3 linked regions of the Lonchura striata genome follow. The protein of the gene in region 1 interacts with the protein of each later gene in a pairwise test. Links are inferred from orthologs where the notes say so. Each region holds a gene or a part of one and is shown in the gene's direction. Other genes may lie near its edges.

What was found. The genes of interacting proteins can lie anywhere in the genome.
Region 2: the proteins of NDEL1 (region 1) and MRC2 interact in a two-hybrid assay, tested with the Homo sapiens proteins (2 studies listed by BioGRID and IntAct). The link is inferred for Lonchura striata from reciprocal best matches to the Homo sapiens genes NDEL1 and MRC2.
Region 3: the proteins of NDEL1 (region 1) and CCSER2 interact in binary tests that used the Homo sapiens proteins (3 or more experiments, as listed by UniProt). The link is inferred for Lonchura striata from reciprocal best matches to the Homo sapiens genes NDEL1 and CCSER2.

Annotation. Positions count from the first base shown.
Region 1 is NC_134621.1:1,236,072-1,239,814, reverse strand, and holds the start of NDEL1 (nuclear distribution protein nudE-like 1), read left to right. Parts: upstream 1-1,283; 5' UTR 1,284-1,387; intron 1,388-3,743. UniProt on the Homo sapiens protein: Required for organization of the cellular microtubule array and microtubule anchoring at the centrosome. May regulate microtubule organization at least in part by targeting the microtubule severing protein KATNA1 to the centrosome.
Region 2 is NC_134627.1:1,140,484-1,144,226, reverse strand, and holds the start of MRC2 (C-type mannose receptor 2), read left to right. Parts: upstream 1-1,077; 5' UTR 1,078-1,145; coding exon 1,146-1,260; intron 1,261-3,743. UniProt on the Homo sapiens protein: May play a role as endocytotic lectin receptor displaying calcium-dependent lectin activity. Internalizes glycosylated ligands from the extracellular space for release in an endosomal compartment via clathrin-mediated endocytosis.
Region 3 is NC_134609.1:4,661,370-4,665,112, forward strand, and holds the start of CCSER2 (serine-rich coiled-coil domain-containing protein 2), read left to right. Parts: upstream 1-1,494; 5' UTR 1,495-1,580; intron 1,581-2,292; exon of another isoform or gene 2,293-2,477; intron 2,478-3,743. UniProt on the Homo sapiens protein: Microtubule-binding protein which might play a role in microtubule bundling.

The DNA of each region.
Region 1 (3,743 bases):
ACCCCGGGGAACGCATCCCGCACCCCTGGGAACGCCTCCCGCACCCCTGGGAATGCATCCCGCACCCCGGGGAACGCCTCCCGCACCCCTGGGAACGCATCCCGCACCCCTGGGAACGCATCCCGCACCCCTGGGAATGCATCCCGCACCCCTGGGAATGCATCCCGCACTGCTGGGAGCGCCTCCCGCACCCCTGGGAACGCATCCCGCACCCCTGGGAACGCATCCCGCACCCCGGGGAACGCATCCCGCACCCCTGGGAACGCATCCCGCACCCCGGGGAACGCATCCCGCACCCCTGGGAACGCAGCCCACACCGCTGGGAGCGCATCCCGCACCTCCCGCACCCCGGGGAGCGCAGCCCCGCCTGGGCCCGGCCGCTGCCCGCCGCCGGCTGCCGGAGGAGGCTCCGAGGCAGAGCGGCGCTCCCGGGGGAAACAGGCGCGAGGAGCGCGGGCTGGGGGATGGAGTCCGGGACCCCGAGGGATGGATGTCCGTGACCCCGAGGGGTGGAGTCCGGGATCCCGAGGGATGGATGTCCGGGACCCCGAGGGGTGGAGTCCGGGATCCCGAGGGATGGAGTCCGGGACCCCGAGGGATGGAGTCCGGGACCCCGAGGGATGGATGTCCGTGACCCCGAGGGATGGAGTCCGGGATCCCCAGGGATGGAGTCCGGGACCCCGAGGGGTGGATGTCCGGGATCCCGAGGGATGGATGTCCGGGACCCCGAGGGATGGATGTCCGGGACCCCGAGGGATGGATGTCCGGGATCCCCAGGGATGGAGTCCGGGATCCCGAGGGGTGGATGTCCGGGACCCCGAGGGGTGGATGTCCGGGATCCCGAGGGATGGATGTCCGGGACCCCGAGGGATGGATGTCCGGGACCCCGAGGGATGGATGTCCGGGACCCCGAGGCAGGGCCCGTGTCCATGCCCGTGCCTGGTGTGCCCCCGCCGGGGTCACCGGGGACAGAGCGGCAGAGAACGGGCAGGGGGCAGTTCCCGAAGGCTGCAAAGGAGGAGGGCGGGACCACCTCACCCCGGGGGCGGCCGGCGGGGTGGGGGCGAGCACGGGGGGATCCCCTCGCCGTGCGAAACGGGGACCGGCACCGGCACCGGGCACCGGAACCGAGACCGAGACCGAGACCGAGACCGGGCAGGGGCAGCGGGCAGCGGGCACCGGCACCGGGCACCGAGACCGAGCATCGGCCACCGGCGCTGGCCACCGGGCACCGGCACCGGGCACCATCCAGGCCCCGCCCGGTGTGACGCCGGTGCCCCCGCCCCCGCCGGCTCTTGCATCACGCGCCGGCCTCGCCCCCCAGTCCCCGGATGAGGCGGCCCCGGCGGGCGCGCGCGGCGGCGGCTGTGGCAGGGGATGCGCTGCGGTGAGCGGCGGGCCCGGGGCCGGGCGGGGGCACCGGGCGGGCCCGGCCAGCGGGGCCCGGCGCGGCGGGCGGGGGGCGCGGGCCGGGCGGGCGGCGGGCCGGGGGCGCCGCCATTGGCTGCCAATTGACAACGGGGCACGGCCCGCCCCCGGCGCGCCATTGGCCGCGGCTGCGCCGCCGCCGCCTCCCATTGGCTGCGCGCGGTGTCAGTCACGGCGCGGCCCCGCTCGGCCGCCGCCCTGGCCCCTCCGCGCCGCCGGGAGCGGGGCCGGCCCGGCCGCACCGGGGCTCGGGGCCGCACCGGGGCTGCACCGGGGCCGCACCGGGGCCGCACCGGGGCTCGGGGCCGCACCGGGGCTGCAGCGTGGCTCGGGGCCGCACCGGGGCTGGGAGCTGCACCGTGGCTCGGGGCTGTCCCGGGGCTCGGGGCCGCTCCGGGGCTCGGGGGTGTCCCGGGCCCTGCCCGCCGCTCTGCCGGCCTCGCCCCCCGCCCGGGCGTTTTCCCGGCACTGGAGCTGGCCGCGTGGTCCGCCTCTGTTGCTGGATGCTCCGCCCGGGGCACAGCGTCTTTTCCGGGAGGAAATTCCTGCCGGAGCTGGTGCTGGGGTCGGGAGCGGGCAGGGAGGTGGCGGTGCAGTCGTCACCCCTGGATGTGACGGGCGGGCCGGGGGAGCTCGGTGCCCTGCTCGGGGACCGGGGCTGTTCGCTCCCAGCTGGGACCGCTGGCCTCCGGGTCCTGCCCTGCCCTGGCCCTCTGCGCTCCCGGGGGGTTTGTCAGGAATTCCGTCGGTAATTCCACCGGCAATTCAGTCGGTAATTCCGCGAGGGTTCCTCTCGGCGGTGCCTGGCCTTGCTGGGAGCCCTGTGCGCTGTGTCCGGGCGTGCCCAGCCCCAGCAGCCCGTGCCCGGTGAGCGTGACCCGAATTGCAGCCGACGTGCGGGAAGGATGCGCTGGGAGAGAGCAGCGACACTGCCCAGCCTGCCCGGTGACCCACCGGCACATCCCTGTCCCTCCCGGGAGGAGCAGGGTTCTCCTCTCCCACCGGCACATCCCTGTCCCTCCCGGGAGGAGCAGGGTTCTCCTCTCCCACCGGCACATCCCTGTCCCTCCCGGGAGGAGCAGGGTTCTCCTCTCCCACCGGCACATCCCTGCAGGGTTCTCTCCTACCCACAGCCCGCTCTGTGCTGGGAGTGACTCAGGGTTTCTCTCTTCTCCCTGCCTTGACTTGCTCACAAGTGCAGGGTCTGGATGCCTCTGGCATTTGTTGCCTGAGAGGTGGTTAAACACAAGAAATTGCTACAGAAGAGTTCCTTGGATACTTCAGAAAATTTTTTTTTCTTCCTTTACATTTTTTTCCAAACCCCACCCCCCACAAAGAAATAATTCCTTGTTGAGGAAGGAATTGTTCCTGCTGAGAGCTGGTGGCCTTTCCAAGGTCAGTGTTTTGTTAGAGATATCAGCAACTGTAAGAGGAAGAAGCTGTCCCAAGGCAGAAAAGAGACTGGGAAGCTTTTAGATATGAAAAGGTGGTGGAGACCCCATCCATCCATCCCTGGAGGTGTTCAAGGAGCTCCTGGGATGTGGCACTCATTGCCCTGGTCTGGTTGACAAGGTGGTGATTAGTCAGAGGTTGACTTGATGATCTCAGAGGTCTTTTCCAACATGAATAATTCTGTGCTTCTATATTTATTTATTTAAATGCCAGTTTGACGTGTTTGCAGCGTGACTGCACAGGCAGGCTGGCTGATGGTGCCAGTTAACTGTGGCAGAGCTGGGTAAGGAGTGTGGATCTGGCATTAATAGTGTTAGCTCTGCCCTAGAAGAGATCCCCTGTCCTGTTTCCTGGCTGGGCTGTGCATTTCTGTATTGTTGTATATGTGGAGGCACAGCCCTGGTGAGAAGGTTTAATAATTTAATTAAACTTGTCACTGGGAGTCCCAGAAGTGAAGGAAGTGTTCAGGGGCAGTGTTTGAGTCAGTGTTTGAGTTGCCTTCCTTCCTCCTCAGGGGAAAACCCTCCCTTTTTTCCCCCTGACTCTTTAGAGTTTGCAGATTCGTAAGATAATTCCTCGTTTGGTGGAGGACGGAGAAGAGAAAGGAAAATAGGAAAGTGGAGAGAAAGCACGGGGCTGATGATGTCTGTGACCTTGGTGTCACAAGGAATCTTGTCTGGAGACGCTGCTGGCAGCAGACTGCCAGGAAGCACAGCAGCAAAGCACAGTGCATGCCCTCAGAGCATTACAGTTGGTTTTTTGAGGTGCCAGGAAAGTCAGACTGCAGAAAGGAAATGGTATTTTTGCAGCCCTTGATGTCTGTGGCACCACAAACAGAATCAAGATAAAGTGGGGAGTGTGTT
Region 2 (3,743 bases), on another chromosome or scaffold:
CACTGCTCAAATCCCAGAAGAGTTTGAGGAGGTGAGGCTTCTACACCCTTAGGCTTATTCCTACAATAATGGGCACCGTGAGCATCGCCTAAATGCACCAAATGGATGTAAAAAGCCAGGAATATGCCAACTTCCAGTGTTTTCCACGTATATTGCCTTCTTTGGGAGGCTAGTCCTGCTAGAGTGGAAGTGTGAAAAATAAAAGTTTAAAAGTCCTTCAAAAGTTTTTAAAAGCCTTTTATGTTCAGCTCCAGAATGTGGGATATACCTACATGAAATATTGTGGATGTTCTTTGTCTCATGCCCTAAGCACAGTACCAGAAGCTGGAGAGCTGCACCAGCACCCTATGGCTGGAGGCACTGGGCTTGTGGTGGAAAGTGCAGTGAGCCATGTCCAACTTCAGCATCCACAGCTGGATTGGGAGCTGCCTAGCTCTGTGCCACAGGGATGGATGGAGGATGATCCAGCTGGGCTGGCTGTGCTTGGAATGATAACTGCCTGGCACCCAGAAGTGCAAGCGACGATGTGTGGTGGGAGTTCAAAGCAGACCCTGGCTGCTGTCTCCGGCGAGGTGGGGTCCCACGCTGAGGACCCACAGCGGAAGCGGATGCGGGGCCGGTGGCACCGCGGGCATCTCCCCCACACCCTCCGCCCCGTACTAGGGCATTGAGACCTCTCAGGGTGTGAAGAGAGCTGCGTGGGTACCCTGCTGGGGAGAGCCAGCCATCCCTGGGCGTCTGCAGGGATGCCCTGGCCAGTCCGGCCTTCGTTTCTGCCAGTCCCCCGCTTCATCTCCGGACCCCCCGCCGCAGCCATGCGCTGCAGCGGTGGAGCCCCCCGGAGCTCGGGTCGCGCCCCGCTCTGTCGCCGCCGCTGGGCCGGGCCCCGGTCTGCTGACGCAGTGTCTAAGCCCGGCGCGCACGCTTCGTGTTTTTTCTTATTTTATTTTGTAACATATCCTCCCCCCCCCCCCCCCCCGCCGTCCCCTTCTTTCCCTCCCTTTCCCGCTCGCGTCCCTCCTCCTCCTCCTCTTTCTTCTCCTCCTTCTTCTCCTCCTCCTTCTCCCCTCACCCCTGTCCCCGTCCGCGGCCCCGGCCCGGCAGGAGCGGCAGGAGGGGCCCGAGCGGAGCGGGCAGCGCCGGGAATGGGGCGCGGCTCAGGGGGCCCGCGGTCCGTGTGCTCCCCACTGTGCCCCCAACTCCGCGGCCCCCTCTGCTGCCTCCTCGGGCTCCAGCTGGTGCTCGGCGCTGCTCACCCAGGTGGGACCGCGCTCTCCCTCCCTCCTTCCACTTTCCCGAGTTTTCTTATCGGGGGGAAAAGGGGGGGCGAGGAGCCAAACCACGTCGAGGAGCCAGACCAGGGCTGTGGGATCCCCCCCGGGCCGGGCTCCTCCGGAGAGGGGGCGGTGGGACCCCCGCGGCGGCGCGCAGGGCGGGGGGGCCGCCTGGCACTAACGCGGATCACATCGCTGTGGCTTATTTCCTCGCGGAGTGTTTTATTTGCTTTTACTACGGTTTGTTTTACTCCATCCTTGTCCGGTCGTGGTGTCTTCCGCCGCGTTTTCTTTTCTCCAGTTTGGTGGTGTCGTGTTTTCTTCCCGTTCCGCCGCGTTTTCACTCACTTTTATCACTCTTGAGTTTAACTCCCCGCGCCGAGTGGCCACGCAGCGCCGGCCGAGGCCAGCGGAAACGCTTCCGCGGCCGCGGGGGGGCCCAGGGCGGCTCCTGGCCGGGACGGCCGCCGGCCCGCTGCGCTCCGCAGCCCCGCTCCGGCCCTTTGTCTCCCCGGGGAGGGCAGTTCGCGGAGCGGGAGGTTGGGAGGGGGGCGAATAGCTTTGTTGGCTCTTGCTGCCCTCTCCCATCCTGACTCACTCCCCTCTCCCGACGTGTCTATCTTAGGAAAAAGGGCCCTCCGGGATAGGGGCCCGAGTGAATATTTGCAAACTTTATTGTGAAGAGTTACTAGAAAAAAAAAAAAAAAGTCAGTGGATTGTATTTTATCTTTTATTTTAACCTTCCGATGGCACCATGAGTCAGACACTGGAAGATCCACTGCATGGCCCCTGAAATTGCCGTTTGAGACCCTTTTCATCCCAGGACAGTCTAGCCTAGAACTAAGGAATTGCTTTTGGGGCTTCCTTGAATTATTTTGGCTCTATTAAGAAAATTTTAAGATTTGAAAAGAAAGCAAAATTGGCTACTTTTGCCTGAAAATAACAACTCAGATCCCCTGACCTATTTTGTCAGAGCACATTTAGCAAATCTGAAGCACATTTGGAAGAGGCAGCATAGGATCACACTGATCCCTTCCCCCATCTCCCCTTGCGCCCCCTGGCCTTTCCCCTCTCCCCTCAGTCTCACAGTGCCTGGGGCTGAGCTGCCTCACCCAAGGGGCAAACATGGTCTCATGGACATGATGACAGTGGGCAGCAATCCCATGCCAAGCAAGGGGTCAGTTCTGAGTTCAGAGGAGAAACTGCTTGGCTGGGATATGAGAAAGTAGGAAGCAATGGGAAAGGAGACCCCTGTACCCTGGGGCATTTGGAAGAGCAGTCAGGATTTGCTGCTGTTTGTTGGACGTCTCAGCTGGACTTCACACAGCTGAATTCCTGTTAGACTTCCCCATAATTTTCTTGAGGGCCATGAATTCCTCCTTCTGTGGGCTTTTAGGGAGTTATTTCATTTCAGCAAGGTTTTGCTACCTTTACAGGCTGATTCTTGCTGTTTCATCCCAAAAAATGTCAGTGGGATCCAAGTCTGACAATTCTGAGAACAGAGGCACCTCTATTCTGGCTGTGGAGCAGGAGCAGTGGCAGCTGACCTCATGCTGGGCCTGGGCAAGGAACAAGGCAGCTTTCAGTGGCCTCCAGCCTGCAGGGCTGTGTCACTCAGGCCTTGCTGGTGCTGAGCACCCTCAGCTCTTTCTCCTCCCCATCCCCACTTTCAGCTGCTCCTGCCCTGCATCAGTCCTGTTTCAGACCTAGTGGATGAAGGGGGCAGAGGATGGCACCAATGGAGGTGCCACATCCAGGATTCCCCAGCACCAGGCTGGATTGCAGCTGAGAGAGGATCCTTACTGGGAGTTTGGGATCAGGATGGAGTAATCCCAAGAGTTCCTTGTTCCCAAAGACACTTTTAGTGGGGGCCAGCCCAGCAGACAGACATTGATTCCCCTGGGGAACTCTTGCTTCTTTAAGAGTTTTGTGCCAAACCCTCACCTCCAGGACAGCCAGAAAGGTGGAGCAGAGCTCTTGGCAGGAGGTTTTGGGCTCTTTGGTGGAATATCTCCTTCAGTTCACACATCTGTGCAGTGTCGTGTGGGCACCCACATACCTTCTCAGGGAAACAGAGGCAGCAGCTCCCATCCTGCCATGGCTGCAGGCAGGACAAGGTCCTTGTCTCACTGCCAGGTCTTGGTGCTGGATTGACTTTCCACCTATCCAATGCTCAGTGTAGGTCCCACCATGTCAGCTGTGGGGCAAGAGAGAACACAAAAGGGACCTGGGAAGAATTTACAGCCTGTAGAGCAAACAGAGCAGCCATTACATTAATGTCCCCCATTTTCCCCTTCCTAATGGAAATAGCTTGTTGCATGGCAAATGGAGCCCCTAGAAATTATATCTTGATCTTCTTCAGACTGTTTGGGAGCAGGAAAAGGGGTGAGAGGTGTTAGCTTTGCTGCTAGAGCCTGGCAGGGCACAAGAGACAGTGGAGACTTCACCACCATCTGCAGCCACAGCAGC
Region 3 (3,743 bases), on another chromosome or scaffold:
GGTGAAATGCTGTGGTAGTGTAAACACAAAGGCCCCAAACCAGGAGAGATGCGGAAAGACATTGAGGTGTAAATAATGGTGCAGTGATCTACTTCACTGGCAAGGAACTTCCTGAGCCTTCTGTCAGTGCCTTCTAATTCCTAGCACAGGCAGAAAATTTGAGGAAATTAAACTTAATTAATTCTGTGAGCACCGGCATGGAGAATGCCTGGTCTCCCATGGGTGACTGCAAGAGTCCTTCAGGATTTTTGTACAGCTGGGTCACCACCTTTCTCCTTTGAGTGCCTCTGCTGTAGTGTGGGCAGCAGGACCAAGGCAGGGATCATCCCAATCCCTGTGCTGGGCATTGCTGAGGCTGCACCTCGAGTGCTGTCTTCAGTTCTGGGCCCCCACTTTACAAAGGACATTGAAGGACTGGAGTATGTCCAGAGAAGAGCAACAAAGCTTGTGAAAGGTTTAGAAAATATATCTTGTGAGGAACAGCGAGGGAGCTGGGGTGGGGGCCATCATCACTGCCTGCAGCTCTGTGAAAGCAGGTTTACTGAGGTGGGGCCGGTCTCTTCTGCAGTGCCTGCAGAGAGGACAGGAGGAAATGGCCTTGAACAGGAACAGAACAGATGCTAGAAGACAGTTTTTTCACTGTTTGGGTGGTTGGGCACTGGAGTAGGTTGTGCAGAGAGGTGGCACAGGGACAGTCTCTGGAGGTGTCTGTCATCGGGATCTGGTGTTGGGTGATGGTTCAGGGCTTACAGTGGCCGCACTGGGTGATCTTACAGGTCCCTTCCACCCCAGACGATGCTATGATCGTACCCTCCCATGCCGCAGGGCCGGGACACTCGCAGGCCCATTCCTGCAATGCCTTCAACAACTCCCATTTGCCCTTGGTTCTGCCAGCCAGCTCGGCGATTGCTGGGGCAGGCTGACAGAGGCTTTGCCCGCCCGGTGGCAGCGTCACACGGCTGTGGTGTGGCGGTGTGGGGCTCGGCGGTGTGGGGCACGGCGGAGGGGGCGATGAGGCGAGGGGGGCGATGAGGGAGCCGGGGCGAAGGGGGCTATGAGGGAGATGAGGCGAGGGGGGGCTATGAGGGAGATGAGGCGAGGGGGGCGATGAGGGAGATGAGGCGAGGGGGACCATGAGGGAGCCGGGGCGAGGGGGGCGATGAGGGAGATGAGGCGAGGGGGGGCTATGAGGGAGATGAGGCGAGGGGGGCGATGAGGGAGATGAGGCGAGGGGGGGCTATGAGGGAGATGAGGCGAGGGGGACCATGAGGGAGCCGGGGCGATGAGGGAGATGAGGCGAGGGGGACCATGAGGGAGCCGGGGCGATGAGGGAGATGAGGCGATGGGGACCATGAGGGAGCCGGGGCGAGGGGGGCGATGAGGGAGATGAGGCGATGCGCCCCGGCGCCGCCGCCGCCATGGGCCGGGCGGGCGGGCGCGCTGACGTCAGGCGGGCCGAGGGGCGCGGGCGGCTGCGTGTTCCCGCCCCCCGCCCCTCCCTGCGCGGGCCGGGCCGGCGGGAGCCGAGGGCGCGGAGCGGCCCTGCCCCGGCAGGCGACAGCGGCCCGCGCCGTCCGCCGGTGAGTGCGGGGCGGCCGCCACCCCTGCCCCCCTCATCGGGGCTCTGTGCCGGCGGGGAGCGGCCGCCGTCCTCCCGGCAGCGCCGCCGCCCTGCGCCGGGGCGGGGGTCGCGGCTCGGCCGGGGATGCTGCGGCAGCGGGGCCGCGGGAGGCCGGGGCGGGGCGGGCTCGGCGCTCCCCTCGGCGCTCCCCTCCGCGCTCCCCTCCGCGCTCCCCTCCGCGCTCCCCTCGGCGCTCCCCTCCGCGCTCCCCTCCGCGCTCCCCTCCGCGCTCCCCTCCGCGCTCCCCTCCGCGCTCCCCTCCGCGCCGGCCGGATGCCGCGGGCGCGCCGCCGCCGCGCTGCGGCTCGGGGCAGCCGGCACGGCGGGCCCGGCGCCGGCGCTGCGGTGGTTTGTGCGCCCTGTAATTCGTGCTCGGGGAGACGCGCTCGCAGGTGCTGGGGGCAGCTGCTGCGAGCCCCGGCCGCCGAGGTGTTGTAGCGTGAGGTTTCGTGTCTCGAGGGTTTTAGTCTACGAAATGGGGAAGAAGCAAAAGCACCCAGTGTGTGTTCGTAGACAACAATTAAAAAAAAAAAACAGTAACGGTGGAAAATAATTATAATGGTGGCATTTCTACTTGAGCAGTGATCTGTTGAGATTTATACCAAGGGGATGTTCTGTAGGTTGTGGTGATTTCTCTTTAATGATACTGAGACTTTGCTTTCGTCACCCAGAGCCTGCTGTTCACTTCGTGCTCTGTCAAATGTACTTTGGCACACAATGAAACGTAGGCAACCTCAGCCTTTAACTTTGAGCTGGAGGAGGTCGAGCTGTTTATCTTCAGTTTAAGAAAGCAAAACTGCATGGGAAGTTTATGCTCTAGCAGAGCCGTAGTGTCCAGGCCAGACATCAAATTAAGGTAAGGATTGTCGATCTGGTACTCCGTCTGGTATGCTGTGTAAAGATGTAGAGCGCTTTTCAGGGAAGCTGGTGCATCTTGCAGGGTTAGAACTTCATATCTATAGCAGGTTTGTTCTTGGTGTCTGTGGGCTTTGAGCCTTGCTTTGGTGCAGAATAGAATTTTTTGCTGCGAAGGTGTTAAAAGTGAAATGAAGTTGAATCTTAAGTTCTCATTTTGTTACATTGAGAGCCACTTCATATATGTACCGAGACTTTAGTAAACTTCTATCTTCTTGGGTTAGCCTGAGGCAGTAAACATTTACATTGTTTGTTGATAATGAATGAAATTGGCAAGGTTTTTTTTCTCGTGTATATAATGATCATGTGCCTCTAAATTCTATGGGCCCATTTTGAATTATATGCCTCCCAGCTGAAGAGGTGATGGCCTAACAAATGGGACACGAGTAACCTAAATGTCAGCCAAGGATCTACGTCAATATCCAACTTAAGAGTCTAAAAGTTGTTTCTGAAGTTGAAGTTTACTTTCTGCTCCTATATAGTATTTTTCATTATAAAAATGTCAATGTTTGGACTCCAGAAACTGCTCAGTATTGTCTTTTAACTGTAAAGCTGTTGAAAAGGGTAGAAATAGTCTCAGTTAATATAATGATCTCATTTAATGTATTGTTATAGTAATGAGTAATCCTGTTTAATGGAACTGTTCATGTAAAAGCTTATTGGAGTAAAATCCGTTACTTTTGGACCTGATCATCCTTTAAGAGGGATTGGTTATTTGGAATAAACCAGTTAATGGGAAATGTTGGCAATGGGATCTTTAGATAAAAGGCTGTCATGCCATCAGTCTTGTCATGAACATTGCTTGCCTGGAATCCTTAGAAAGTGTGGATCTCTCAAAATGGAGAGGAGATGAAGGAATATAAGATTGCAGAATGTAATATGATAAAATATATCAACAGTGGTTGTGGTGTTCTCTTTCAGCCACTATTCACTGTAAACAGCAGCACCATCTTCCTAATTAGAAGCTTTCAGGCAGGGTTAAGTCCCGTGCCAACAGGGATGCTAAGGAGATCAAAATACTAATGGTGCTTTTGGTAATTAGGTTGAAAATCCTGTATTGTGTTTCAGTTAGAGCAATAAAAACAGATTATGTAAATCTCTGGATACCTACACACATGTACGTTACAGTAAAATCCCAACAGCTTTAAATAGTTATCTTAAATTTGAAGTTTGGCTAGTCAGGAAAGGTCTTTGCATTTCTTCACAG